2 linked regions of the Notamacropus eugenii genome follow. The protein of the gene in region 1 interacts with the protein of each later gene in a biochemical or structural test. Links are inferred from orthologs where the notes say so. Each region holds a gene or a part of one and is shown on either strand. Other genes may lie near its edges. The genes, in order: MIB2 and CYLD.

Evidence for each region.
Region 2: of the proteins of MIB2 (region 1) and CYLD, one has a biochemical effect on the other in vitro, tested with the Homo sapiens proteins (2 studies listed by BioGRID, with this or other methods). The link is inferred for Notamacropus eugenii from reciprocal best matches to the Homo sapiens genes MIB2 and CYLD.

The regions. Positions count from the first base shown.
Region 1 is NC_092876.1:35,304,720-35,320,239, forward strand, and holds the start of MIB2 (E3 ubiquitin-protein ligase MIB2), read left to right. Parts: upstream 1-7,728; 5' UTR 7,729-7,856; intron 7,857-9,106; exon of another isoform or gene 9,107-9,136; intron 9,137-10,302; exon of another isoform or gene 10,303-10,369; intron 10,370-13,992; 5' UTR 13,993-14,087; intron 14,088-15,520. UniProt on the Homo sapiens protein: E3 ubiquitin-protein ligase that mediates ubiquitination of Delta receptors, which act as ligands of Notch proteins.
Region 2 is NC_092872.1:465,959,446-465,975,070, reverse strand, and holds the start of CYLD (ubiquitin carboxyl-terminal hydrolase CYLD), read right to left. Parts: upstream 7,695-15,625; 5' UTR 7,537-7,694; intron 6,687-7,536; 5' UTR 6,608-6,686; intron 1-6,607. UniProt on the Homo sapiens protein: Deubiquitinase that specifically cleaves 'Lys-63'- and linear 'Met-1'-linked polyubiquitin chains and is involved in NF-kappa-B activation and TNF-alpha-induced necroptosis.

The sequences.
Region 1 (15,520 bases):
TGGTTGACACACATGGAGACTATAACTTTGGCTGACATAGGAATCCTGAATCAGGAGGGGAAGGGGACCTGCTTTAAGGATATAAAGTCCACTTCAACTATCCTTTCTTTGAGCTCATTTCTCATGAACTCCGATGTATGGACCCAAACATGATGCCACTTTGAGAGAAATAAACAAGCACATGAAGTCTAATTTTGTTGGTTATTCTTAGAATGAACTCTGTAAGGTTGACAGTGCCCATCCAGAAAGGGGGACAGCTGGGGAGAAAGAAGATAGCCACTAACAAACAAGTTAGTTTGCCAAGCCTGGTAGTTTTACCAACAGACATCTACCAGGAATTCTTTGCACAGTGCAGAGCCAAGGTGAAATATAAAATGCGAAATTAGCAATTCTGTAAACTCTTTGTGTTCTGATAAGGTTTTTGCAGCCATAAGTTTGAACCCTGCTCTGAGCTTTTTTTTTTGTCAAATATACACTTCCGTGTGGTTTGCGTTTAGTATTCTTTTTGTCTCTAGGAAATAAGTATCTATTCAATACCTGTATAATGAATATCTTTCTACTTCCCTCCTTTAGGGATCCTGAGCCATAGCTATAAATAATTCCCTCCCCTCCCCTAGTGCTGGGAGCCAGGGGTTTAATGGGCCAAATGGTATGAGAAAAGAGAGACCAAACTTCTCCTTAGAGGACTTAGAGAACTCTGAAGACTGGGGTCAAACCCTGCCTCTGATGCACTAGCTGTATCACCTTGGGCAAGTCTTTTTTAACTTCTCTGTGTCCCAGAAAACTCTTCTGTAAGTTCCAGAAGAGCTGGTGAAGTGCATTTGGCTTGTTGGTGGGAGTTTCTGAAACAAGAAACTTCCCACATCAATGAAATCACATATCAATCCATCAGTCAAACATTGACTCAGCTCCAGATTGAATGAACTGTGATCTTAGGCAGTATGAAGCATGCTTCAGTTCTGACATGTTCTCTTTTATGCTGGCCCAAGTGGGAAATGATTGTGCAGAGGAGAAAATCAGCATTGGGTTTCCAAATTTGGATTATTTTCTTATAACTGAAGATTCTCTAAATCAAACGGAAGGGTTGAAGAGTATAACATTCCCGAGTCTGGTAAAGGATTGTACTCTGAAAGAGGGAACGGTGCCTTGGAAAACTTATAGGTTTGTAAATTTCAAGTTCCTCATTCCTGCATAATCTAGCTTGAGTGCTAGATAAATCGTCCCCAAATAAATAAGGGATAATAGGAGCGCATCTATCTACTCTTGTTTAGTTTAACTTCCAAATGAAGTTAATGAAGAAATAAAGAATTGACAGATATGATTGCTGAGGCAACACTGAGGTAGGAGTGTTAGGGCTGGAGTCAGGAAGACCCAAATTCAAACCTTACCTCAGATACTTATTAATTGTATGATCCTAAGCAAGTCAACCTTTCCCTGTCTTGGTTTCCTCAACTATAAAATAGGGATGATAACAGCCTCGTCTAGGTTTTTGGGAGGATAAAATTAGATATGTAAAGTGACTAGCACAATGCCTGGCACATAGTAGTAGGTGCTTATCTCATAATTAAGATTTACATTGGTCCCTGGCAAAATTCCAAAGTTATCAAGTGGGTGGTCAGGGAACACTTAGAAAAGAGATCAGTGATCCCAAAGAACCATCATGGCTTCATTTAAAAAAGAGAGGGTAGCAGCATTTCCATTGTTGGTGGAGTTGTGAACTATCCAACCCTTCTAGAGAGAAATTTGGAACTATGCCCAAAGGGCTATAAAACTGTTCATACCTTTTGATCCAGCAATACTATATCTAGGGCTGTATTCCAAAGAGATAATAAAAGTGGGAAAAGGACCCAAATGTACAAAAGCATTTATAGCAGCTTTTTTTGTAGCGGTAAAGAATTGGAAATTGAAGGGATGTCCATCAATTGGGGAACGGCTGAACAAGTTGTGGTATGTGATTGTGATGGAATATTATTGTGCTATAAGAAATGATGAACAAGCAGAGTTCAGAAAAACCTGGAAAGACTTACATGAACTGATGCTGAGTGAAGTGATCAAAGCCAGGAGAACATTGTACATAGTAACAACCACAGTGTGCAAGGACTGACTTTGATAGACTTAACCCTTCTTAGCAATGCAAGGTTCTAAGACAACTCCAAAAGACTAATGATGGAAAACGCTAAACATATCCAGAGGAAGAACTTTGGAGTCTGAACGCAGATCAAAGTAGGCTATTTGCTATCTCTTTTTTGTTGTTTCTTCTTTCTTGAGGTTTCTACCATTGGTTCTAATTCTTCATTACAACATGACTAATGTGAAAATATGCTTAATATAAATGTGTATGTAGAGCCTATATCAGATTGCATACCACCTTGGGGAGGAAGGGGGAGAAAATTTGAAACTCAAAATCTTATAAAAGTGAATTTTGAAAACTAAAAATAAATCAATAAACTTTTTTTAAAAAGAGTTGCAGCATTTCCTCCTTTTCTTGGCAGGGTTTACTAGGCCGGTAAGGGAAATGCTAGAGTTATAGTTTTATCTGGATTCAACAAAGAGCTTGACAGAGTCACTCAGACTTCTCCTCGTAACAATTGTTAACATTCACATAGCACTTTAAGGTTTGAAAAGTGCTTTACAAATATCTCATTTTATCCTCAAAACAATCTTGGCAGGTAGGTGCTACTATTGTCCCGATTTGGGTGACTGGGGAAACTGAGGCAAAAAGCTGTTAAGTGAGAGTCACACAATTAGGTGTCACAGTGGGTAGAGTGCTAGGTCTGGAGTCAGGAAGACCTTAGTTGAAATCTATCCATAGGTACATATTAGCTGTGTGATCTCGGGCAAGTCACTTACCCTTCCTACAGATTCCTCATCTGTAAAATGGAATAATAGCCTACCTTTCAGGGTTGTTGAGAAGACCAAATGAGAATCATAAGATGATGAGAATCATAAGGTGCTTACCACAGAGGAGGCAATATACAAATAGCAGCTAGTAGTAGTAATAGTAGTAGTAGTAGTAGTAGTAGTAGTAACAGCCACAGCAGCAGTAGCTAGGTGGCACCATAGGGTCAGGCTTAGAGTCAGGAAGACCCATCTTCCTGAGTTCAAATCTGGCCTCAGATACTTACTAGCTGTGTGACCCTGGGCAAATCACTTCACCTTTGCTTGCCTCAGTTTCCTCACCTGTAAAATGAACTGGAGAAAGAAATGGCAAACCACTCCAAATAGGGTCACAGAGAGTCAGAAATGACTGAAAAATAGTCGTAGAAGTTGTAGTAAGAATTTGAAACCCGGTATGAACTCAGGAACAGTTAGGGATTTGCAAATGGTCAAGTTTGCACTTAAAGACCTAAAGAGTACTCATTAATGTAATTCCCCAATTGATAAATGGTCAAAAGATATGAACAGGGAATTTTCAGAGGAAGAAATTAAAGCTATTGATAATCATATGAAAAAATGCTCTAAATCACTATTGATTAGAGAGATGCAAATTAAAAACAACTCTGAGGTACCATATCACACCTATCAGATTGGTTAACATGACAAAACAGGAAGATGATAAATATTGGAGAACATGTGGGAGAGTTGGAACACTAATTCATTGTTGGTGGAGCAGTGAGCTGATCCAACCATTCTGGAGAACACTTTGGAACTATGCCCAAAGGGCCACAAAAATGTGCATACCCTTTGACCCAGCAATATCGCTTCTGGGACTCTATCCCAAAGAGATCATTAAGATGGGAAAAGGTCTCACATATACAAAAATATTTATAGCAGCTCTCTTGGTGGTGGCCAAAAACTGGAAATCAAGGGATACCCATCAATTGGGGAATGGCTGAACAAGTTGTGGTATATGAATGTAATGGAATACTATTGTGCTATAAGACATGATGAACAGGAAGACTTCAGAGAAGCCTGGAAGGACTTATATTAACTGATGCTGAGTGAAAGGAGCAGAACCAAGAGAACTTTGTACACAGCAACAACCACAGTGTGTGAGGAATTTTTCTGGTAGACTTAGTACTTTGAAATACATGGACTTAAAAAAATTTCCAATGGACTTGAGGCAAAATGCCTTCCACATCCAGAGAAAGAACTATGAAATTGGATCGCGGATAGAAACAGACCATTTTCTTTTATATTATGTTTTGTTTTGTTTTATGGTTTCTCCTATTAATTTTAATTCTTCCATGCAACATGCATTTAATGGGAATGTACCTGTGGAACCTATATAAGATTGTATGCTGTCTCAGGGAAGGAGTAGGGAGGGAGGGGGAAATGATGGAGAGAGAGTGGAAAAAAAGTCCAAGATATAGGGAAGTGATCGTCAAACACTGAAAACAAATAAAATAATTCAATTAAAAAAAGCTTCCTCTCAGTCCTCACAATTAATAATCTTTTCTCACAATTAATAATCTTTTCTCTCTTTGGACTAGACCCATAACTGAATTGAAATGGAAGTGAGCTAGCTCCAGAATTGAGTCCCAAGATGGAATCAGTATGGTTCACTCAATTCCCACAATTAACTATTGCTGTCCTAATCTCCTCAATTCCCTCATAAACTTTGTCTATTGCTATAGACCAAATAGGGGGAAAATGTTATCTAGAAGCCAGTTTCTTGGTGATGAACCTTTTCAAACTTAGCTAGACTATCTTTGGGGGACATTCATGTATGCATGTGCACCTAGGCCTATACACAAAATTTTCCAGAATGCTAAGACTTCCAAGAACTTGTTTTATGCTAGCACAATTTTTTTTTTTAAATACCAGGTTCCCCTGATATTCCACAATGAATTATCATCGCAGTTGTATATTATTTAGGGATTTTATTACGCAGATGGCAAAACAGAGATAAAAGACAGAAGGTTAACTTCATGAAGGCAGGAACTTTGTCATATTTTTGTCTATTTCTTTTTTAGATTAAAAGTAGCATTCAAATGCAAATATTATCATGGATTGGTTGTTACAATAACAAACAATAATTTAAAACATCAAATGTCACAAAATCAGTTTCCTACGAGAATTTTTAAATAGTTCATTATGGTCTTTATTATTAATCATATTTGGAGGAACATTATTAATGATTGATAATGTTATTACTCAATGTATTATTTTCTTTCTATTAATGGTTGATGCATGTTTTGCTTATTTTCATGTTATAGGATTTTATAAAATATTTTAAAGGGGAAAAAAAAAAGAATACTCATTCATGGAAGTAGGTCAAGTTGGAGGGAGGTCTCTAGTGGAGTGCCCCAGGGATCTGCGCTTGACTCTGTCCTGTTCAGCATTTTTTAATCAATGATTAAGATGAGTACAGATGAAATGTTTGTGAAATCTGTAGATAACATAAAGAGGGTGTAATGAACATGTCAGATGACAGAGTCAGTATCCAAAAGGATCCTAGCAAGCCAGAACATTGGACCAAATTACAGAAAATTAAATTTAGAATCCACATGATTTCAGTCTTGCTTTTCCAAATTAAATGCCTTAAATAAAAAGGAAACAAACAGCAGGTTCTGATCCCTTCTCTGCACTTTTCTGTCAGTTGCATGACTGCAAAAATTGGGTCTACTATAGAATATCATTTTGCCTTCTACATATTTTCATCATGAACATGTATTCAGATTTTTCACATATGGATTTTATAGAGATGAGAAAGAAGGCATGTGAGTCAGAACTTATTGTTTTCTCAATAATTGTTGGAGGGAGAGGGAAATAAGCTGGTTTGTAACTTCCTAATCATTTGTTTTCTTCCTTTCTTTCATATATCTTGAGAAGTGATCCTTCAATGCCCCTCTAAATTGTGATGTCTCCAGGCTGGACCTCCAAGTAGTCTTGATCTATAGTAGTACAGCCGTCTTGATTTTTTTTAGTGTCCTTTCTATGGTGGCATAGTAGATGGAATACTGGACCTGGAGTCAGGAAGACTCCTCTTTGTGAGTTCAAATCTAGCCTCAGAGACTAACTAGCTGTGTGACCCTGGACAAGTCACTTCACTCTGTTTGCCTCAGTTTACTCATCTGTAAAAATAAGCTGGAGAAGGAAATGACAACCCACACAGTATCTTTGCCAAGAAAATGGTGTCACAAAGAGTTGGTTAGGATTGAAAACGACTAACCAACAATTTACTTTTTCAAGTAGCACTGTGGAAGACTGTGACTTTACAATCCAAAGCATTAATGGAGAAAGTAACTTCTTACAGAAATAGCAGATTTTTAATTTTTTTTTCTCTAATTGTTCTTCTAGTCAGTTAGGAGTCCACATGGCCAAGTTCAGAGAGGCACAGTAGCACATTGGTTACAGGGTGATTAATTCTTCTGGCCACAATAACACTAATGGCTTACATTTATATATAATATTTTAAGGTTTAAGGGTTTACATATATTGATCCTTAGTGAAGAAGGCCCTACACATGATTATCATTTTACTGAGGAGGAAGTGACTTGCCCAAGGTCATACAGTTAGGATTACATATTTAGAGCTAGAAGGGGCCTTAGAGCTCATGAATTCAACTCCCTCATTTTACAGATGAGGAAACTGAGGCCCAGAGAGGTTGGGTGACTCGGTCAAGGTCACGCTGCTAGTTTAAGGGGGTTAGATTTGATTTTAGAGTCATTTGACTCCATGGTCTCCCCCTACTCCCTCTCTGAACCAGTGACATGGGCCTCATCTCCCCAGACTGTGTGTGCATTTTCACTGACTCTGCCTCATGCCTGAAAATCTCACCCCCTACAGGAAGCCTTTTTTTCTCATCCCCCTTAACGCTAGTCAGAGATTATCTCTGCTTCATCCTGTCTACCTGGAGTTTGCACATACGTGCACTTTTGCTTGCTTGGATCATGAACTCCTTGAGATCAGGGACAGGTTTTTTGCCTTTCTTTGTACCTCTAGCACTTGGCACAATGCCTGGCAGCACACAGTAGGCGCTTGCTTGTTGAACCGAGTCATAGGAGGCTACGAGTCCTCATGCTCCTTGAGGCATCACCTATTAAGTCACTTCACCCCAACTGCCTCATCCTGGGCCATCTCCAGTCATCCTGATGAATATCTGGTCGCTGGATTCAGATGGCTCTGGAGGAGAAGTGAGGCTGGTGACCTGCACAGCCCTCCCTCACTCACAACAAAGTCAAGTGCAAGTCATGTCGTCATTTCTCTGGCAGCATGGTCTTCTTCGGCAACGAAGGAGGAACACACACATTCATTATTTCGTGTAGCAGAATGAGCTCTAGAACGCTCCTCAGGGCCTCAGAAGTCCCATCTGTAAAATGGTTACTGTAACTCCTCGCTAGTAGACAATGTTTCATTCTTTGCCTTTGCAGCCTAGCACCAGGTACACAGAGGCGTTAAGAAGGCTTGCAGATTGATGGAAAGGTCTTGGCCATTCCCTGGGGCTCAGGCGCGGCGACTCTTCCTCCTTGCACCGCCAGGGGGCGCCAGGGTGCCGGACTCTGAGCCCCGCCCCCGCCCCCGGCCCCGCCTCCGCGGCGGTCGCCGCGGCCCAGCCTCTAGCCTCGCAGGCAGCAGCGCCCGAGGGGGCCTGGCTCCCGGTTCCCGCGGGGCCTCCTGGGAGTTGTGGTCCAGCTCCCAGCCCCTGGGATTGCGCGCTACTCTAGCGCGCACTACGGCTCCCGGCAGCCCCCGCGGCGGACCCTGAAAACTGAAGCTGCCCGTCGGGGCGGCGCTGGCAGGCGGCTGCGGGCGGGCAGCGACCCCGCTGGCCCTGACCGACGGACGTACGGACGGACGCACGGACCGGCAGAGCTGCTCTGCGACGGAGCCTCGGAGCGAGCCCGGCGGGCGGGCCAACCGCCGAGCCGAGCCGGGCTCCGGGAAGGGCCCCCGCCCGGGACCGAGCACAGGTCAGAGCCTCAGAGCCGCTCCTCCGGCCAGGCGGGCGGGGCGGCCGCGAACCGAAACTTTGGGGCGGGGCGAGGCCAGGGCGGGGGCGGGGCCACGGCGGGGGAAGGGAGCCACCAAGGGAGGGGGAGGGGCGAGCGAGGGGAGGCCGGAGAGGGCTGCGGTAGGGGGCGAGGGAGGGCCGAGGGATTGGGGAGGGGGAGAGACGAGATGGCTACAGTGATGGGGGGAGGGGTCAGAGAGATGGGGGAGGGGGAGAGATATGGGGAGGGGGTCAGAGAGCTGGGGGAGGGGGAGAGTAATGAGGGGAATGGGGAGAGATATGGGGAGGGGGTCAGAGAGCTGGGGGAGGGGGAGAGATGGGGAGGGGGGTCAGAGAGCTGGGGGAGGGGGAGAGTAAGGAGGGGAAGGGGGAGAGATATGGGGAGGGAGTCAGAAAGCTGGGGGAGGGGGAGAGTAAGGAGGGGAAGGGGGAGAGATATGGGGAGGGAGTCAGAAAGCTGGGGGAGGGGGAGAGTAATGAGGGGAATGGGGAGAGATATGGGGAGGGGGGGTCAGAGAGCTGGGGAAGGGGGAGAGATGGGGAGGGGGTCAGAGAGCTGGGGGAGGGGGAGAGTAATGAGGGGAATGGGGAGAGATATGGGGAGGGGGTCAGAGAGCTGGGGGAGGGGGAGAGTAAGGAGGGGAAGGGGGAGAGATATGGGGAGGGAGTCAGAAAGCTGGGGGAGGGGGAGAGTAATGAGGGGGAGGGAGGGAGTAATGAGGGGAAGGGGGAGAGATGGGGAGGGGGTCAGAGAGCTGGGGGAGGGGGAGAGATATGGGGAGGGGGTCAGAGAGCTGGGGGAGGGGGAGAGTAAGGAGGAGAAGGGGGAGAGATATGGGGAGTACAGAGTGAGATGGGGAGGGGAATAAGGGGGACCACAGAGGCATGAGGTATGGGGAAGGGGAAGGAGGGAGGGAGGACCACAGAGATGGCCCAGGGTGAAAGGGGGGATCCACCGGGGCTGGATCTGAAGGGGTGGGTGGAGTAGGGGCAGGGGACCATTGAGGGATGGGCTGGGGAGCAAGGAGAGGAGGCCTGGAATGGGGCTGGGATGGAGCTTCCTCCCCCTGGGGGGTCTGGCTTTGCTGCTTCCAGCAGACCTCTGGGATGTTCAGATTTGGGTCTGAGGTCCCTTCCAAACCAGATTCCAGGATGAGGAGGAGGGTTATGGGGAATGATAGTTCACATTTGCATCAGGCTTTGAGGTTTACAAAGTGTTGGCCTCCTGGTCACTGTGAGGTGGGTCCTAAAGCCTCATTTCCCCATTTTCCCCAATGTGGAAGTGAGGCACAGAAGTTAGTGACTTACCTAGGGTCATACATTTAGAGTCAGGGATGGAAATTGGATCCGGGGCCCTTGACTTGAGTGCTCTCTCAGGGATCACAGAGGGAAGAGGAGCCTGTCGAGGGATTTGGGCAAAGGAAAATGGGGATAGGCCTGTTTGGGAGGGGAGACCAAAAGGAGCCATTTGGAACAGAGGGATCCAGAGCTGTGGAGGAGCTGGAGAGGGAGGGGGCAGCCTTAGCCGCTGGGCCTTCTCTCTGTCCTCACTCTTCTTAATCTCCAACAATTCTCTTAATTTTCCTTTATCTCTTAATCATTTCATGCTACTGAACATTTCCTCCTGCATACAGGATATATCCTGTCTAAATTGTTGTGACACTGTGCTCTCTGTCTTTCTCGTCTGTCTGTCTGTCTGTCTGTCTGTCTGTCTGTCTGTCTCTCTCTCTCTCTCTCTCTCTCTCTCTCAGTCTTTGTCTTGGTGTCTCTCTCAGTCCCTTTGTGTCTTTGTCTCTCTCTCACATTCTCTCATTCTCTCCATCTCTTGGTGTCTGTCTGTCTCTGTCTCTCTGTTTCTCTCTTTCCCTCTGTCTCTCAGTGTCTGTCTGTCTCTCTGTCTCTCTCTTGGTGTTTGTCTTTCTCTTGGTCTCTCTCGGTATCTGTCTCTCTGTCTTTCTGTCTTACCCTCTGTCTCGCTTTCTCTCTGTCTCTCTCTCCCTTTCTCTGTGTCTATCCATCTCTCTCTCTCTTTCAGTTCTGCCTGCCTGCCTTTCTCAGTTTGGTTTGACTGCTCAGGTCTAGGTCATGCCCACTAGCTGTGGGTGTCCCCCTACGCTCTGTTCTGTGTCACTCTACACTATTTCCCCTGGTGATCTTATCAGCTCCCCAGGGTTCAGTTTTTACCTCTGCAGATGACTCCCGATCTCTGTAGCCAGCCCTGGTCTCTCTTCTGAGCTCCCGTCTCTATCACCAACTGCCTCTTGGACATTCTGAACCAAGTGTCTCATTTGTTGTTACTGTTCAGTCATTTTCAGTCGTGTCTGAATCTCCATGATCCCATTTCGGGTTTTCTTGGCAAAGACACTGGAGTGGTTTGCCATTTCCTTCTCCATCTCGTTTTACAGATGAGGAAACTGAGAAAGACAGGATGAAGTGACTTGCCCAGGGTCATCCAGCTTCGAAGTATCTGAGGTCAGATTTGAACCTAGGAATGAGCCTTGTTGACCTGCCAGGGTCTTTATGCACGATGGTGCCCTCTAGCTGCCCATGTAGATGTTCTCTAGGCATCTCAAACTCAATCTTGCCACCCCAGAACTCATTCTTTTTTCCTCCTGAGCCCTTCCATCTTCCTGATTTTCCTGTTAGTGTTGAGGGCATAATCACTTTCCTGGTGGCTCAGGCTCCCAGCCCCCATGGCATCACCCTCTCTCACCTCCCATGGCCAGTCATCACCAAGCCCTGTGGTTCTGCCTTCACAATATCTCCCATAAGCCCCCTCTGCCTTGTGATATTGCAACCAGCCTGGTGCACACACTCACACCTGCTACTGCTAGCAAAGCAGGTCTGACCACATCACACCCCTCCTCAGTCAGCCTCAGTGACCATGCTGTGTCCCCTCCTCTTCCCCTGCCCAGCAAGTGTCACCTGCTTCCTGTTACCTCCAAGGGCAAAATTTAATCCTATTTGGCTTTAAAAGCTTTTCATGACCTGGCCCCTTTCTACACCTTCCTTCCTTCCTTCCACATCCTCTAGGATCTAGTGACTGATCCCCTGGTTGTCCTACCTCCAGGTATTTACCCTGGCTGTGCCCCATGCCTGGGACTCTCTCTCTGCTGTCTTCCTTGGCTTCCTTCAAAGCTCAATATCCTGCCTTCTGCAAGAAACATTTTCTGATTCTCCTTTATCTTAATCTCTCTGAGACTGTCTCCAATTTATCTCATCACATCTCTTGTTTGTACAGAGTGGTTGTCTTGTTGTCTCCTCCCTCAGACCACGAGCTCCTTAAAAGCTGTCTTTTGCCCTTGTTGGTCTCCCTGGTGCCAAGCCCATGGCTGGACACATAGCAGATCACTTCATTTATTCCGCATGACCTCTGCTCCCCCTGCCCTCCTTCAGTGAACTTCAGTGGCTCCCTGTCACCTCTGGGGATCCAATATGGAAACAAACCAGCCAACAACAGTCTCTTCTGTTTGGCTTTTAAGCCCTTCACAACCTTGCCCTTCTCCTGCATTCTCTGATTCAACCACATTGAATGTTCTCGTATGCCCCACTTGATCTCCATGACTTTGCCTTGCCCAGTCACCATGCCTGGAATGCCCTCCTTTGTTCATCTCGGCCTCATCAAATCCCTGCTTCCTCCAAGACTCAGCTTAGCCTCCACCTTCTGCAGGAGGCCTTTCTAACCCTCCTGCCCCCCAGCTACCAGTGCTGCCTTTCCTTCCTCTACTCTGTCTGTATTTTGTATGGACACACGTCATCACAAATACTTGTTGCCTGACTAGGGAGCTGTATCTGTTCCCTGTGCCTCTTGTCCTCTTCCCGTCTGGTTTGGGCTTGGTAAAGCAGTTCCTAGTAGATGCCCCTTCCCCAAAGGCCTGTGGGTCCTCAGTTCTTGATGGGCCATGATTGCTTTGTGTGGAGTATTCTACCCAAGAACGCCCATGCCCCAGGGGAGGAGGGGTAGGACCTACTGGGGCATCTGGAGCACCCTGAGAGCTAAGGAGTGGGACTGCACAGAGCTGGCCCCTCACCCTTATGGAAAAAGGCAGGCCCTGAGCCAGAGCTCTTGGGAGCCAGGGCTACCTGGCAGGTGGGGAAACTACTCTGCTGGGCAGCATGCACACCTGGAACCTTTCCCACTTCAGGCTCTCTGCAAACTTTAGAATCCTTTTCCCAGCCTCATGTGAGGCATTCTGGCCAGTGACTGGCTAAGAGAGTGATGGTGGAAATGAGGGTCAGAGACCCTCTGTGGGACTCTGGCCTAGCCACAGAACAAAGCAGTCCTGGGTTCCAGGCAAGTCAGCATCAACAGGGGCTACAAGCACAGGAGAAGCAGTTCTACCCTCAAGAAACTTGCGCCTTCCCCTCCCCCAATTCCAGATGTGTTATTGACATGAACATTGAAGTCATTTCTGGAAATACCTTCTCACCCTTCCATACTGACCCCTTTTTGGTAGCAGTTAAAAACTCAGTAAAAATGAGCATATCTGAGTCAGTTGGCCAGCATTGATTAAGCACCTCCTATGTGCAGGCCTCTGTGCTAAGCACTGGGGAGGCAAAGGCAGAAGACAGTCCCTGCCCTCAAAGAGCTCACTGTCTAGTGGGGGAAGAGAATGCCAGGAAGGAATCTGGGGGGAGAGGTCCTGATGAAATCCAGAGGAGTCTAGGGAAAGGATAAACTGACTGCCTTGGGCAGCGTTCTATGGGAGACTCTGAGAGGAGCTGTCTGCTGCCCACCTTCCACTCCCTCCATTCTGAGGGAAAGAGGGATTGGCCTAGAAGTGCTCAGAGGGGGACTGTTTAGACCCCCTCTGTTCTCCTAGGGGGTAATGATACAGCTAGTGTATACTGCTGAGCCAGAGGGGGAGCAGGCTGAATCTGTAATTTTGTTGGTATAGGGAAGTATCCAGTGAGTATCTCCCCATGCAGCTCAGCACTGTCTGCATCTTGAGTGCTTGTCAGACTTGTCCAGGGTCTCACAGTCACTTTGGGTCAGACCAAAGGCAGGCGTTCTCTATCCAGCTGCTGCTCCTTACAGATAAGGCAATAGAAAATCTTTGGAGGAGGGAGAGAGCCTGAGAGAATGGGGAGGAAGCCCCTGCCCTGAGCCTTGAAGGACCTAAGCCAGAAGGAAGTGCATTCCCCTCATTCCTGATCTCCCCACTGTGACTGAGCACCCAGTAGTTGTTGTGAGATCTTATCTTCTTGACCGGAATCGAGCCTCTTGCCTTACTGTTCATTCTTGATGTTCCGGCTCATGCTGATAGGGGTTCATGAGAATTGTTCTTGCCCTCTGCATCTGGAGGGTGAGGCTTCCTGTAACGCAACTTTGTCTCGGAAAACCTTCCACAGGAAGGGAATCATTTTAAATAGCCCATTACTTCATCTGGCCCTTCCTTCTAGGGTCAGATGCTTTGGGGAGACCACTTTCTGAGTGTTCTGTGCTCTTGTCCATGTCCAAGATTTTGGCCTCTATTGACTTTTAGCATCCAGTAGAGTCATTCCCCTGATTTAATTTACTTCAAAATTTTGTGTTGGTGTGCAGTCACATCCAACTCCTCATGACCCCATTTGGGGTTTTCTTGGCAAAGCTACCAGAGTGGTTTGCCATTTCCTTCTCCAACTCATTTTACAAATGAGGAAATTGAGGCAAACGGAGTTAAATGACTTGCCAAGGATCACACAGCTTGGTGTCTGAGGCTTGATTTGAACTTGGGAAGATTAAGTCTTCCACTCCAGGGTATGCACCATACACCACCTCCTGGCCTTTGCTTTAAACACACACATTCAATTCTAAAATAATTTATTATAAACACCTGTGTCCCTTGAACTCTTCCCTGGGGTGGTGATGGAGGAGAGTGATTACGACTCTCTTATGGGACCCAGACCTTGCCTCCCAGGAGTTCCCAGTGAAGTTAGAGAAGCCAATGTCAAGTACTGGGACCTGAGAACAGTTTATAAGAGGGAGGGAGAGTAAGTGATTGCTGCTGGCCATTGAGCCTTGGGTGTGTACCCAGCAGCAGCTCTGACTTTCCTGCTCCTCAGTTGGACTGATCCCTGGCTGTCTTTGTTTGCATTGGCTGCCGATCCCTTAGGAAGGCTTGTATGCTGACCTGCCTGGTGAGCCTAGAAGCAGAAGGAAGCCCTGGGGGTAGAATCCTGAGGAGAAGTTGCATTGAATGAAGTTAAGGTAAGTCCTGCTTACCTGTGTGCCTCACCAAGCTACTGTTCCTTTCTCCCCCACTCCCCACCCTGGAAGTTGTGACTTTGAGTCCAGAATGGCCAGGAGCAGAGCGTTCCAGATGGCTACTTCTGTGAACCATTAGCTGCTGGGCATCATGATAACTCAAAGCATCTGTGATGATTAAAAAAAAAAAGCTTGGTGATTTATTTGTGAGTTGGTGATTGTAACAGTGCCATGCCTGTGAAGCAATCCGTATTGCAGTTTGAGGAGCTGGGCTCTCTATTTACAGGAAAGATAATTAGGAAGTGCCACGTTGGCAGTTAGTTTCCTTTGTAGCTTTGAAAATGGGGCTTTAACTGGATGAGCATAATTACTTGTATATTTACATCTGCCAAGTGATTCTGAAACTACTTTGGCTGAGAGACCCTGTTTGGAGAAGTGGACAAAACCCTGGCCCTGGAGTTGGGAGGCCTGCCTCAGAATCCCCTTGCACATGCTAGCTCTGTAACCAAGTCACTTAAGTTCCCCAGGCCTCAATTTTGTCCTTGTTAAAATAAGAATTCTATACTTAAATCCACTCCCTTCGAATTATTGTGAAGAAACTGCTTTGTGGGCCATAAAAATGCTACATCAATCAACAGTCAAGCATTTATTAAGCCCCTACTGTATTGTGTTCCAGGAGCTGGGTTAGGCACTGAGAGTATATAAGCCCCTGAGGTGCTTCCATTCTGCTGGGGGGGGGGGGAGGGCAGCAGGGAATAATACCCAGCTATCCAAGTAAGTGGTACTTTGTTGTGGGGTTCTACTAGTAGCTGGGATGGGGGAGGTGGAATAAATAAGAACCTGGATATAGTCCTTGAGCCAAACTTTGAAGGGACCAAGGCTTCTAAGAGGCCATGAAGTGGGGCAGGAGAGAGAGACAGCTAGGCAAAAAAAAACCCAAAACAAGCTAAGCTTGAGAAGAGTTTAAAAAAAAAAAAAAGGTAGCAAGTCAGCCAATTTGATTCGAACCTAGAGTATATGAACGGGAAGTGTGTATAATAAGCCTGGAAAGGTAATGCAGAGCCAGCCTGGGTTTTAAATGCCAGGCTGAGGAGTTTGTGTTTTATCTAAGAATTACTAGATCTTTTTGGGTAGGAGAGTATTGTATTCACATCTGTGCTCTTTGTAGTTGGTTGTATGTAGAGAATGGATTGGCCAGGGGAGAAACTTGAGGTGGGTTGCCTGCTGGGGGGGCTTTTGCATGATCCAGGTGAGAAGGGATGAGGGCCTCAATCAGCACATGCAGTGTAAGTGGAGAGAAGGTGACCAGGTGGGAGGAAAGGGGGAGAGAAGAGTGAATATCCAAGCTTTCACATCTGGCAGGAAGGAAGGGCAGGTGTTCTAAGGGAAGTGGGGAAGAGGAGTAGGATTTGGGTGGGAAAGATAGGGAGCTCTGT
Region 2 (15,625 bases), on another chromosome or scaffold:
TATCAACATATACTATTCATAAGAATCTCATTGAGGAAACAAAGTCAGTATTGAAATTCAAGAACTTTGTGCTTCTCCTGAGGTATACTAGTTCTTAAAAGCACTACAGGCTATCCATTCTTTATTAGATTTCAGAATCAATACACACTGTACTAAATTACTATTCCTGATTATGACCAAGCATAAAGTAAAGCCAACGAAATCTCTTTCAAAGTTCTTTTATATAAAACAAACGACCATCACTTTAAGAAAGAATCTTTCTCTCTAAAAGAAGAAACTTCTATATTCTTAAGCGAGCTAAAATTTTTACATTTCATGATTGGGGAGAAAACCTTCATGCTGTTTAAAACTTCACCCTAACCTATGTACTGACACAAGCACATATGGAAATATCAAAACACAAATGTTGTAAGCAATCCTCATATGTGAAAATCTATAGTTACAAAAAAACTTAAATTAGGGAATTTTTGTTTTTTATAAAATAAAACAAAAAAAGAGCTTTCTATATATATAGCAAGATTTCTCAACACAATTAAAATGGAAATTGTTTTACATGTAACTTTACAGGGAGGTCTATATTGCAAAAAGCAAAATGTGCCTGTAATATGATCCTTTAAATCATCTTCCTTTTACTACATACTAAGCAGTTCCCATCGTCCTTAAATGTTCTCTCCCATTTCTCTTCCTAAAAAGGGTATAAATTGTTGTCAACCTCATGATTCTATGATAGCAATGTGATCAACATGATTCAACTAAACTCTACATGTAAACACAAAAATATCCGGTCAAACCCTTTCTATTCCCAACTATATACTTCCCCCCCCCCCCAAAAAAATGTAAAGAATATTAGAAACTAGCCCTGTTTCCAGATCACAGAGGAAGGTTAAGTACTAGACACACTGCCACTAAATGGGTTTCCTTTATCTCCAATGCTATGACTGAAAGCAAATATTGGTTCCTCTCCAAAATACTTTGGTGGCTGATAAAAAAGGTTTTTTTATTATATTGTATCCCAATAAGTCATGTTAATGGGACTTAGTTTTTTTCCAAATTCATAAAAATTCTTGGAATATTGCTCACAAACAATTTATACCTCAAGTGTAATGTCACATATTTACTATCTCATAAATGACTGAAAGACAAAAAAATTCCATTGAATTTATTTATTGACTATGAAAAAACATTTGATTAGGAAGAACAAAACACTGCCTTGCGGGCCTTTTTAAAAGATGCCTCTCATCTCTATGCTGGAATCATTCCTTGGAAGGTAACAGATTTTCTGGAAAGTGACAGAAATAACCCAGTTCAATGACCTTCTGAAAATAAACTTCAGGTGAGATATAAACAAGGAAATGTATGCTCACCAAAATTATTCATCACTGTGATGAGGGAGATCAGTGAAAGAGTTCAGATCAAAATCTCCGAGAGGAAGGTGAGGTTCTCAGATAAAGATGGCACTGTGTTAATTACATCAAGTATAAAGATAGTGAAAATCTCCAGGAAGAACTCTGTAATCACTCAAAGGAGACTGGCCTGACCATCTACAGAACCGACCAAATAGATAAAGACTTCCCACTGCTTTGGCTTCAACATGTATCTATTAAATGGGCACCTACAGAGCTTTTCCAATAGTATATATAATTAGGAAAAGAAGTACAGATGGCCAATGAACTGTGCCCAGAGTTGAAGAGAACAGAATAGGCTGGATTTGCTTTCAAGATTACACACTTTTGTAAGCTTAATACCAGATCTATTCAATTATAGATTATTGATAGAGGAACATCCGAGGTTAAGTCTAAAATTAAGCTATTAGGCTTAGGACTTTAGACCAACAACAATAAGTTAGGGTCCTTTAATTCTTAGTAATACTGTGGAGACAATTAGGTCAAGAGCTTGTGAAGTTAGCAACATAAATATTATTTGTGTCTCAGCTGGTTAATGTTTAAAAAAAAATTCTTTTGTGCTCCATATTGTTTAAAAAGAAGTATCACCTGACCAAAGTTTGAATTGTTTTATCTGTTATAAACTGTGTTAAAAATGAAAATTAAAAATTTAAAAAAAAAAAAGATTACACACTTTTACTGACTACAAGTTTCCTGTAACAGCAAAGGCCTGACTTTTCAATACAAACATTTAATCAGTGTGTCTGTACAGTGTAATGAGACTTGTGTTGAAGAAAAAAATTATTAATACTGTATGCTGGGGTCTAGACAAATCTACCAGAAATAATTTTTCTTAATTTTACATTACTCTATTATCCAAGTCATTTATGGCAGAGAAACACAGAAACAGAGAGAGAGAGAGAAAGAGAAAGATAAATTGGCATAGTTTCCCACTGCCTTCTGACAGGACTCTCTCATCCAAGATGACTTGAGGCAACATTTATAGCAATCTTGAACAAGACAAAGATCATATGTAAAAATAGTTTTGTGTTAGCATTCCAAAACAAATGAATAATAAAATTACCATTCAGTTACTTAGTTGATTACTCCTAGAACATACAAATAGATCTCCTTCTTTCAGTGCTTCATTTTCTTGTTTCTCACTCTTTTTAACTTCTGCAGTCCAGCTTCTAACTTTATCATTCCACTGAAACTGCTCTCTTCAGTTACCAAGTATCTCTTAATGGTCAAATCTCAATGGTTGTTTCTCAATTCTCACTCTTCTTGACTTCTCTGCAGCCTCTAACACTGTTCATCACTCTGTTCGTGATACTCTCTTTCCTATAAATTTCCTGACGCTGCTCTCTCCTGGTTCGTCTACCTGTCTGACCACTCTTCAGTCTCCTTTGCAGGATTTTCATCCAGGTCAAGCTCCTAAACTGTGGTTGTCTCCCACGCCTCCTTCTTGGGCCCTCTTCATTGCTTGGTGATCAGATCATCTGCTCCCAGGAATTCAATTACATTATCTATTTGTCTCTGTCTGTCTTCTTCTCTCTCCACGTAAGGACACATATTTACATATACGTGCGTGTGTGTGTGTGTGTGTGTGTATGATTCTTAGATCTAGTTATTCATCTCTACCCTCTCTCTTGACTTCTATCCTCCCATCTCTTGGGATATCCAATAGATCTCTTCAATTCTGCACATCCAAATCTTTCCCCTAAAACTCTCCCCTCTTCCCAACTTTCCTATTATTGTTGAAGGTGCCCTCATTCTTCCAGTTATGTAGATTCACAACCAAAGTATTTTCCCCAACTTCTCACTCTCTTTCACCTCCCATATCTGATCTGTTGCCCAGTACTGTTGATTGTACCTCTGCAATCTCTCTTGTACATGCTCCATACTCTCTGCTGACAATGCCACAACCCTGGTGGCAAACCTTCATCACTTCAAGCCTAGACTACTTTCAATAGTCTGTGATTACTCTCTCTGCCTCAAGTCTCTCCCCATTCGAGTCCATCTTCCATTCAGCTATCAAAGAGATCTTCCTAAAGAAAAGGTCTGACTATGTCACACCCCCATTCAATCAACTCCTGTGGTTCCTTATTAACTTGAGTATCAAATATAAAATTTTTTGTTTGGCTTTTAAAGTCCCTCATAATATGACTCCCTCTTACCCTTCCAGTCTTCTTGCATTTTATTCCCAATCTCCTTCAACAAACACTCCCCCACCACCACAGACACACAGTGATTCAGTGACACTGGTCTCCTTACTATTTCTCACACTAAACACTCCAGCTTTGGGCATTTTCAGAGGCTTTCCCTCATGCCAGGAACTCATTTCCTTCTCATCTCTGCCTCCTAGCTTCCCTGGCTTCAGTCTCAGCTAAAATCCCTCCTTTTGCAAGAAGCTCTTTTCAATCCTGCTTAACACTAGCGTTCATCCCCTGATGATTATCTCCAATTTATCCTTTGTACATAGTTGTTTTCATGTTAGACTGTGAGCTCCTTGAAAGCAAAAACTGTTTTTCTCTTTGTTTCCCCAATGCGTAGCACAGTGCCTGGCAAATAATAGGCGATCACTAAATGCTTGTTTACCAGACAATCTTTTCTCAAAGGAGAAACGTAGATCAAAGCATCAGTCCCTTCAAGGGATGGGTAAAGAGAATACTGCCCTTAGATTGGTCAAACACTACAGGTGGGTGGGAAGGCAATGATCTAACAAGAGATACTCTGTATTCAATTATTTGACTACCACACTAAGAAAGCTTATTATCCATCCTTCTGGCCTGCCTCCAAACAGAAGTTTGGAAAGGGTTTAGACCAAAGAAATTTTATTTCTCAATATTCCTAGAGAATCCTAAAAAGCATTTAATTATGCTTCCAAATGTGGAACACCACTGCATAACAAGAACTATAGATGGGCATTACATAGAAAGCAACGAAAAAGCCCGTGATAAGGATGAGCAGGTTGTAATGTAGAACCGAGGAGGAATTCTTTAGAAGAATATCAGTAAAGGATATCATCCAATAATTATACTACAGAAAGAGAAGATGGGCTGGTCATGTCTCAAGAAAAAATTTTCCACTGGTACTCATAATGTCAGGAAAAGGCCTACAGCATGTTCAGCAGTCCTCCTTAGTGAACTTTTGAGAACATGGATGAGTATTACAGAGGATGGATGGGTATGGAATTGATTTTGAATTACTTCATTAAAGGGAATTTCTGAATCGATATCACAGATTCATTTGAGTATAATGTCTAATGATTTCAGTGGTTTTGTACATCAAAATTAGTTATATTTGATAGCAATAAAAACGTGAAGAGTGAAGTCATCATTCTAATTACTGTTCTACTAATGTTACACATTTTATTACTGTGTAAGGAAGAAGCAATATTATTTTACTTGTCATATATTAGAGGGGAAAAATGTAATGTTGACATCCATGTTAAAGTGATTTTTCAGGATCATTTCATTTAATCCTTTTATAGCACAGATTGTGTGCCAATATCAAAAATCCAAACGACTCAGAATACAGTATAAATCAGAAAAAATGGTAACATTAATCAAGTGATGGATAGGATAATAACTTCATACTCCCTTCTTCACTCTCATCTTTCTTGTCAACAAATGTAAGTCCAGTCTTGACATATAAAATCACTGAAATCATTAGACATTATAATTTTTTTAAAAGAAAGCATGATGCACGTTATCAGACTTCTTAAAATGTATTTAACAATTGTGATTTTTTTTCCTCTCTAAAAAATACTACTATTTGTTATACGAAATGGTCCTCTGGGAGGGGAAGTAGGATATGAAACAGAAGACACCAATAAAACCTTATTTTTTTAAAAAACATGAAAGAAAACATGAGCCTTGGTCTTACCAAATCTTATAAGAGCTACCACCAAAGGGAATGTGTTATTTGCTGGGATTTTCCAGGATTTTGCAACAGAACATAAGTGTTATGGGTTTCAATAAGTTCTCCAAGACCATTTTCTCCTGATAATGTACTAGTGCAAATCCACCCACTATATACTGAAGAACAGCAGGCTAATACTCAGAGCCATTACTTCTACCTAGGGTGTGAGGGGGTGCAGAAAAGTAACACTAGAACAAATTCCCTCTCTCAGTCCCTGAAACACATTAAGGACTTCTTCTTTCCCCCCTAGAAACCACAGCCTAAAAAATTAACAATCGTATTATATCACAGACTTTTCAGTCAAAAAGCAAGGTAATGAGTTTATTTTTAGCTGAACTTGGGGGAAAGGGAACTAGGATAAGAACAATCAACTATCTTAAAAATGCAAAAGCAACAAGAGTTGTACACATGTACAAAGAACATGTCGTATATCAAACACTCATGAGCAACATTCTCTGGAATGCAAATTCAAAATTCTTATTTCCATCCTCCACATCACTGCCATATTAATATCCTAAAGGTCAGGTCTGGCCATGTCACTCTTCTAACCAAGAAACTTTAGTGACTCCCCACTACCTTTAGGATAAAACACAAACTCCTCTGTTTGCCATTTAAAGACCTTTACAATCTGGCTCTAGCCTACTTTTCCAAGCTAATCACATTATTTTCCCTTTTATTCATTCTACATTCTAGCAAAACAGACCTAGATTTCATCTCCTACCTCTGTGTCTTTATACATGCTACCCCTCATGCCTGAAAGGCCCTCTCTCCTGTGTCTCTCAGAACCTGCTAGCTCCTTCAGTTCATTTCTCCCCAGGCTGCAAATCTAGACTCCAACTTGCTTCCAAGTCAGGTACCTTCCTTTGCACCACTCCCTTTTTCAGCTTCCTTTTATGTATTGTCCTTACCCATCAGGATGCGGTTTTTTTTAGTCTACTCCTAGAAGGGACTGTCTTTCTTTTTGCTTGAATCTCTACTCCCAGTGCTTAGCACATTGCCTGACACATAATAAGCATTTTATAAATGCTTACTGACTGACTCCTTTCAGTGTCACCTCCTTCAAGGTCACCTTATTCCCCCCTCATTTTATATTTACCCTATATTTACTTATCTGTACACATACTAAATACCCCTAATAGCAGGCCCTCCTTGAGATATGAGACTGTCTCACTTTTTGAAAGACTTTGTATCCCCAGTACCTAGAATATAGATAGTAGATGTGTAATAAATTGTACTGATCAATTTGGATCCATATATGTTAACCACCAGACCATTTACTATTAAAGGAAAAAGAGAGATACCTTCTGTCCACAGAGAATTTTTCAACTAAAGAACTCCAAGTGGTTGTGTAACAGCATCCTCAGCCTGAGGATGGGCAAACTGAAACAGAAAGGAGAATAAATCAGCAAGAGCAGCAGTAGGGTGGGTACTCCTCTCCTTCCCTGGGCCTCAGCTACCTCATTTGTAAAGGGATCACGACCAAGAGTTCTTAACCTTTATTTGTCATAGACCCCCTTTGGCAGTCTGGTGAACCCTACAGAAACCCTTATCAGAATAAGGTTTTATTGTCTACTTTCATAATTTCAGTTAGGTTAGTGAAACCCAAGGTGTCATTTTTTTCCCCATTCAAATTCACGGATTCCCTGAAATCTGTCCTTGGACCTCTTCAGGGTTGGTGAACCCCAAGTTTGGGGATCCTTGGTCTGACGTGTGGTCTCTTCCAGCTCTAAATCCTACGAACATCTAATCCTCAGTGCTCTTCCCACCAGCCCCTATCTCCCCTTGTCCCACCGGAGGGAGTTAAGCAGTACTTCGAGCCCATCTACAAGTCTCTGGGTCCCGAAGGTGGACGCTGGCTCCATGGCAGCCCGGTGCCTCAGTTTACCGCCCCCTCCCCTAAGGGGGAGGAGCTCCTATTTACGACAGTCCCCGGGAGGGGGGGCACCACCGCCCCAGGCACCGGACGAGCCGCGGCCGTTAGTCGGAGTTGAGGATCCCTCTCCGGCGGAGGCCGGGACCGGCAGGCCTCGCTGGGAGCGGCGTGAGTCCGCGGGGTCGGAGAGTGACGTCGGCGGGGCCGGCGAGGCCCAGGTAACGGGCCGGGACGGGGAGCACTGACTTGGCAGGCGGCGGGGCCGGGGGCGTCGGAGGAGTGAGGGGAAGGCGCCCGACGAGTCTTGCCTCCCCAACCCCGGCCCACAGGCGCCAGCGCCGCCCGCCATTCGCTCACCTGAACGGGTCCGACCGGGCTGAAGCCCGGCTCCCAATCCTGCGGCCCCCGACTCCGGAGACCAAAAGTCGTCGCCACCACAGCCGACTATTTATCTCGGGGAGACGCGCGGCCCCGCGCAACCGAACCCGATACCTGGGCCCGCCCCCGCCTGCCCCGCCTCCAAGCCGGAGAAAAGGAAGGGAGGGAGTGGTAGTGGGTGGGGAGAAGTGGCATGAGAGCCAATCGGAACCCGAACGGCGTTCCAGCGCGCGCCAGGATTGGTCCTTCTTGTGACGGCCTTTCCGCCAATGCCTGCTGGGCCAGCTCGGTACTAAGGGACTTTCCGCTCCGTCAAGCTCGGTGGAGCCAAAGTGGGGGTGGGGGAGGGCTAAGAGAGGAAGAGGCGAGAGGGGGCGGGGACGGGGAGAGTGGCGTAGCGCTCTCTGATTGACTGTCTGGCTGCAAGCCTACAGCCATGATTGGCTGTGTGAAAGGAGGGGGTGGAGCATTACCGGTCCCAGTCCCTCTGGGCCTCAGCTGTCAAAACGCTTTACTGAACTGGGTAGGGCAGGGTCCACGGTCCTTGGGAGCTAATAAGCTTTGGGAGAGGCCAGGGCTCACGCCCTAGCTTGAGCTGGGAGTCCGGACTCCTGGGAGGCAGCCCGGAGTCCCGAAAAACCACTCTGTCCTTAACCCTGAACCATCGAGTTTCCCAGTCCCTCTGAGCCCTGTGCCTCAGTTTCCCCTTCTGGAAGGGGCTTCCTATCCCAGCAGTCACCCACTAGTCCTTGGGAGGTGGGGTCCAATTTAGGGCACTGAGGAGGATAAGGTATTGTCACACATTTAATTCATCCTTCCTGGCCAACAGCCAGGGCTTATGGTTTAGTTAAGGATCTTTCAATTAGAAGAGACGTTTTTGATTCCCACGTGAGCTCAAAAATATTTAAGGAAGTGATTTTTTAACTTAGTAGTGAAGGCTCTCAGGACACTGGATTCTTGTTAATTAATTCTTTCTCTAACAAATTAAGTACCAATTATGAAAGAGGATGAATAATACTCAAAGGAGGGATGTGGGAGGGGAAAGGTCTTAATCATGACATAAATTCTCCCTGTGGAAAAATTCTCCCACTTACTCCTAAGGGTCTGTGGGATTCATCCTGAGAGGTAAAAGCACAAAGGGGTGTCACTGTGCCAATAACTAATTACTCTCAGAATGGCTATCATGTACTACAGTCCTCCCCAGTACGTCATCCGGGGCGCAGAAGGGATGCCATTGTGAGACCCACGCTGGAAGCTTTTCTAATTTCATATTATCTGTTGGCATTTGTGCCCCCTTGGCATAGACTTCAAGAACCTGCTGTCACAGACCTTCATGACCCCTTTAGGGATCAATTCAAGACTCATCTTTAAACAGTTACTCCAATTCCCAAAGTGCTCTGGTATTCTCTAATTGTTTTATTGATGATAGAATTTCCCTAACAAGATCAGCTCCTCTAACAGCAGAAGGCTGTATCTTCTACTTATGTATTCTTTTCACAGTGCCTAGCACAGAGCTAGGTATATGGTAGAGGATCTTCTGCTTTCATGAAACATGCTCCACAGCTACTCATTTTAATGTATATGACCATTCAGCTTCCCATTGCTATACCTGGGAAACTCAAGAATATTTAGCTATGCCATTTAATCCCAGCAAAGAATGAGTAACAGAAAACTATGGGCAATCCTCCAAGAGGAAATTGTTAAATGCATGATTCCAAATTTTTTGTCTATTCTCAGCTCCCTAAAAAGATGTAAGATCCCTGTGTCTTTTTTTTTTCCTGTGCAGAATCTATTGAATTTAAGAGACTGATACCTAATGATAACAATACTGAGAATCTTCATTTTCATTCAGAAAAGGCAAGAGAGGTTTTGGGGTTTATTTCTGGAATGAGAATCTGTGCCATTTTCATTTAACATTTGACAACCAGGATTTTGTGAATGAGAAAAGGTCTCATATGAGCTCTTTTTCCACAAGAATTTATAAGTATTAACAGAAACCTTTCTGGACTGTGTAAACCTCTCTTCATTTCCCACCTGGCTACACTCATTTTACACTTCTTTGACTTCCCTACTATGCCCCCCAGTAAACTCATTGGGAAATCTCATCATCTTGTCAGATACAAATCAACCTTGACACCCACATCTCACCAGTACCCACTGCCCTTCCATTGGAGGGGACACAGGAGAGAAATATCCTGACATCTCATTTCCTATCCAGCTGTACTCATGTTGGACTTCTTTGACTTCTCTGACTGCACTCATTTTGGATTTGATTTCTCTACCATTCCCATGCCCGGTACATTAACCCCCATTCAGCATTGTCTTCCCCTGTTAGATTAGGGAAGGAACTATCTTTTTCCTACTTGTATGCCCAGAACTTTAGCACAGTGTCAAGCATATAATAATTTCTTAATAATTATTGACTGATTGACTATTCTTTCCAAATGCCCACTCACCCTTAGGAGAACCCTCAACTCTACTCCTTCTTTGGAGGATATTAAAAGCAGTAACCACAGAGAGATTAATCCGCCCAATCTTGTACATAGGCCTTAGAATGCTTTTGGGGAATCCCTGCTGGACTTTGAAACTTGGTTTTCAGCTATGACTTTCCCATGCTGAATAATTTCAAATCAAGCTACTTTAGAAGATTACTCTTATCTATGAAGAATTAATGATTGCTGTAAAAAGTCCTGTGCTCCTCACACACACACACACACACACACACACGCACACACACACACACACACACACACTCCAATCTGCTAACTTCATTTATAGTTTATAATCTCATGTAGATTCTTGCCTCAAAGAGAACAAGGCTATAGAACAAAAACAAAAGCTTTGTCATCAAAAGGTTACAAAACAGGGTGGAGTCAAGATGGCAGAGTAAGAGGAAGTATTTTTGCTAGTTCATCCAGATACCTCCACAACCTTCTAGAAGAGGATCAAACTGAATTCCAGGCCACAAGGCCATTAAAAAAAAAAATTCCAGTGAGTCATTTTTCCAGCCCAGTGATGCTGAGGGAAACAAAGAGGTATGCAGATACTGAGGCCAAGGCTGGCCATGAGTGGGTCCTGGCCAATAGAAATTGATCAGTGATCAGTGGAACAGAGCAGGCATATGATATACAGAAGCAAATGAGCACAGTAATCTAGTGTTTCATAAACCTGAATGCCCAACATTGAAGCAAGAATTCATTATTCAACAGAAACTATTAGAAAAGCTGGAAATTAATCTGGCAGAAACTAGGCATAGACCAACCTCTCATACCATATCAAGATAAGCTGAAAATAGGTAGATAATTTAGACATAAAGGGTGACATGGTAAGCAAGTTAGTGGATCATGGAAGAAATTACCTGTCAAATCTATGGACAGGGTGATGCTTTGGTCATGTTAATGACCAAACAAGAGAAAGAAGTGGCAAAAGAGATCAATTTGATTACATAAAATTTAAAAGTTTTTCCACAAACCCAATCCAACTAAAATTAGAGGCAGGAAATTGGGGAGTGGGGGAAGGGGTGGGAAATATTTGCAGCAAATTTCTGTAAGACAGATACACACTAGCACACAGGAGGGCCACTAGCACAGGTTCATTTTTGATCTGGTCAGACATATAAAGACACTAAGAAAGCTTTGAAGGGGTTAATAATCTTACTTTATTCAGGTCTAGTCTCCTCACAAGGTTGCTGATAATGGGAGCACTAACTCCTACAGCATTCTCTAATCACCCTTCTCTCAGGGGCCAGCAAGAAGGGGGGCTGCTACCCCTATGTCTTGATGGGGTCAATTGAGACAGTCACAGCTTGTGCATTTCTCTAAATCTCCTCAAGCCTCAGTGGGGGCCAGTCAAGGCACACATACATCAATCCAGTTTGTGCATTCAACTCTAAGGGTTTCCCATTCACTGACCAGTGCCCACCTGCTTTATAGGGCAACAGACAAAGAAGGCATATTGCCAACAATAGCCTCACAAGTTTACATCACCTCATCCCTATATCTTACTACACAGTCGCAGTGGATGTTAATAATTTAAGTACAAATATTTATATCATTTACCATTATATAACTGTGCAAGTGTGATAGAGGTGTTTTTTGTTGTTGTTATTCTTAGTTCAATCTGTTTTTTAATTTTTTTAAATTAATTTATTTTGTTTTCAGTTTTCTACAATCACTTCCATATATCTTACATTTTTTCCCTCCCTCCCTCCTTCCTCCCTGAGACGGGGTGCAATCTTATATAGGTTCTACACATACATTCTTATTAAACACATTTTCACACTATTCATGTTGCATAAAAGAATTAAAATGAATGGGAGAAACCATGAAAACAAAACAAAACATAACACAAGAGAAAATGATCTGTTTCATTCTGCAATCCAGTTCCACAGTTCTTTCTCTGGATGGGGAAGGGATTTTGCCTTAAGAGTCCATTGGGAATTTTTTAGGTCCTTGCATTGCTGTGAAGGGCTAAGTCTATCAGAAACAGTCCTCCCAAGGTTGTTGCTGTGTACAAAGTTTTTCTGGTTGTTCTCCTTTCACTCAGTATCAGTTCATATAGATCCTTTCAGGTCTCTCTGAAGTCTTCCTGTTCATCATTTCTTATACCACAACTTGTTCAGTCATTCCCCAATTGATGGGCATCCCCTTGATTTCCAGTTCTTGACCAACACAAAGAGGGCTGCGATAAATATTTTTGTACATGTGGGACCCTTTCTCATTTTTATGATCTCTTTGGATACAGTCCTAGAAGCAGTATTGCTGGGTCAAAGGGTATGCACATTTTTGTAGCCCTTTGGGCATAGTTCCAAATTGCTCTCCAGAATGGTTGGATCAGCTCACAGCTCCACCAACAATGAATTAGTGTTCTAACTCTCCCACATCTTCTTCCACATTTATCATCTTCATGTTTTGTCATGTTAGCCAATCTGATAGGTGTGATGTGGTACCTTGTTTTGATTTGTATCTCTCTAATCAATAGTGATTTAGAGCATTTTTTCATATGAATATAGATAGCTTTAATTTCTTCCTCTGAAAATGCCCAGATCCCATACTTTGACCATTTATCAATTGGGGAATGACCAGTATTCTTGTACATTTGATTATTTTAGAAGTGAGGCCTTTATCACAGACACTAGTTGCAAAAATTCTTTCCCAGTTTTCTGCTTCCCTCCTAATCTTGGTTGCATTGGGTTTGTTTGTGCAAATACTTTTCAATTTAATATAATCAAAATTATCCATTTTGCACTTCATAATGTTCTCTATCTCTTGTTTCATCAAAAATTTCTCCATTCTCCATAAATCTGACATATACTATTTCTTGCTCCCCTAATTTGTTTATATTATCAGTCTTTATACCTAGATCATGTATCCATTTGGACTTGATTCTTGTGTATGGTGTCAGGCATTGGTCTGTGACCAGTTTCTACCACACTGTTATCCAGTTTTCTCAGCAATTTTTGTCAAACAATGAGTTCTAATCCCAGAAGCTGGGGTCCTTGACTTTATCAAATAGTAGATTGCTATATCCATTGCCTACTGTGTCTTGAGTACCTAATCTATTCCATTGATCTACCCCTCTATTTCTTAGCCAGTACCAAGTGGTTTGATGATTGCTGCTTTATAATACAATGTGAGATCTGATAGGGCTAGGCCACCTTCCCTAGCATTTCTTTTCATTAGTTCCCTTGATATTCTTGTTCTTCAAGATGAATTTGATATTATTTTTTCTAGCTCTAGAAAATAATTATCTGGTAGTTTGATTGGTATGGCACTGAATAGGTAAATTAATCTAGGTAGGATTGTCATTTTTATTATATTAACTCAGCCTACCCACAAGCACCTGATGTTTTTCCACTTACTTAGATCTGAGTTTATTTGTGCAAAAAGTGTTTTGGAATTGTGTTCATATAGTCCCTGGGTTTGTTTTGGCAGGTAGACTCCCAGATATTTTATAGTGTCTACCTTAGCTTTAAATGGGATTTCTCTTTCTATGTCTTGCTGTTGGACTTTATTAGTAATATATAGAAATGCAGATGATTTATGTGGGTTTATTTTGTAACCTGCAACTTTGCCAAAGTTAATTATTTCAAGTAATTTTTTACTTGATTCTCTGGGATTCTCTAAGTATATCATCTGCACAGAGTGATAACTTAGTTTCTTCTTTGCCTATTCTTATTCCTTCAATTTCTTTTTCTTCTCTTATTGCTACAGCTAACATTTCCAATACCATATTGAATAACAGTGGTGATAATGGATATCCTTGTTTCATCCCTGATCTTACTGAAAATGTATCCAGCTTATCCCCATTACATATAATGCTTGCCGATGGTTTTAAGTAGATACTGCTTTTTATTTTATGGAAAGCTCCATCTATTCCTATGCTTGCCAGTGTTTTCAACAGGAATAGGTGTTGCATTTTGTGAAAGGCTTTTTCTGCATCTAATGAGATAATCATATGGTTTCTGTTAGTTTTGTGGTTGATATTATCAATAATTCTGATAGTTTTCCTAATATTGAACCAGCCCTACATTCCTGGTGTAAATCCTACCTGATCATATTGTATTATTCTCATGATAAGTTCCTGTATTTTTTGGTAATATCTTATTTAAAACTTTTGCATCTATGTTCATTAGAGAAACTGGTCTGTAATTTTCTTTCTCTGTTTTCGTTCTTCCTGTTTTAGGTATTAGAACCATATTTGTATCATAAAAAGAATTTGGTAGGACTCCACCAATTTTCCCAAATAGTCTATATAGTTTTGGAATTAACTGATCTTTAAATGTTTGATAGAATTCACTTGTAAATCCACCTGGCCCTGGAGATTTTTTCCTAGACAGTTCATTTATGGCTTATTCAATTTCTTTTTCTGAGATGGGGTTATTTAAGTATTCACCTTCCTCTTCTGTTAATCTGAGCAATATATATTTTTTAAAATATTCATTCATCTCATTTAGATTGTCAAATTTATGGGTATACAGTTGGGCAAAGTAATTTCTAATTATTGTTTTAATTTCCTTCTCGTTCGAGGTGAGTTCACCCTTTTCATTTTTGATATTTGTAATTTGGTTTTCTTCTTTCTTGATAGAGGTGTTTTGAAGCATAATCATGAGAACTCATACACATCTAATACCTGGGAACAAGAGATTGTTATGGCTATGGATCTTGGGAAACTGAACTCTGAGAAAGAATAACAAAAATCCACTTTACACGCACTAAAATGCACCTTACTTACACTCGTGGAGGTCTCATTTCTAAGATGTAAAGGGTCAGATTCACAACATCACAGCCATTTCTAAATTGCTAAGTAGTCAAAGGATATGAACAGTTTTCAGAGGAAGAAATTCAAGCTACCATATGAAAAAAATGCTCAAAATCACTAATAGGGAAATGCAAATTTAAACTTAGAGTTACCTCCTCATACCCATCAGATTGGCTAAGATAACAAAAATAGAAAATGACATCCTTGAGGGAATATGGGAAAACAGGTACATTAATGTACTGTTGGAAGAACTGGGAACTAATCCAAGAATTCTGGAAAGCAATTTGAAACTGCATCCAAAAATCTATTAAACTATGGATGCCCTTTGACCCTGCAATACCTACTACATCTATGCCCCAAAGAGATCAAAGAGATAAGAAAAAGACCCAAATGTACAAAAATATGTAGAGCAGCTCTTTTCGTGGTGGCAAGCAATTGGAAACTGAGGGAATCTCCATGAATTGAGGAATGCCTGAAGAAGTTACGGTATATGAATGCAATGGAATATGATTTGATTATTAAAAAAAAAAAAGATGTAGAAGATGGTTTCAAAAAACTGGGCAGATTTCTAGGAGCTGATGCAAAGTGAAGTAAGCAGAACCAGGAGAACAATTTATATAATAATAGCAATATTGTAAAAACAATCAGCTGTGAAAAACATTGTAATTTACCTGCACACCATCCAAAAGGTTCATGATAAAAGATGTTACCCATCTCCAGACAAGAGAACTGATGGACTGAAACAAATTTTCTTCTTTCTTTTTTTTTTTTTTGGACATAGCTAATAAGGTGCTGCCGCCAGCGAAGT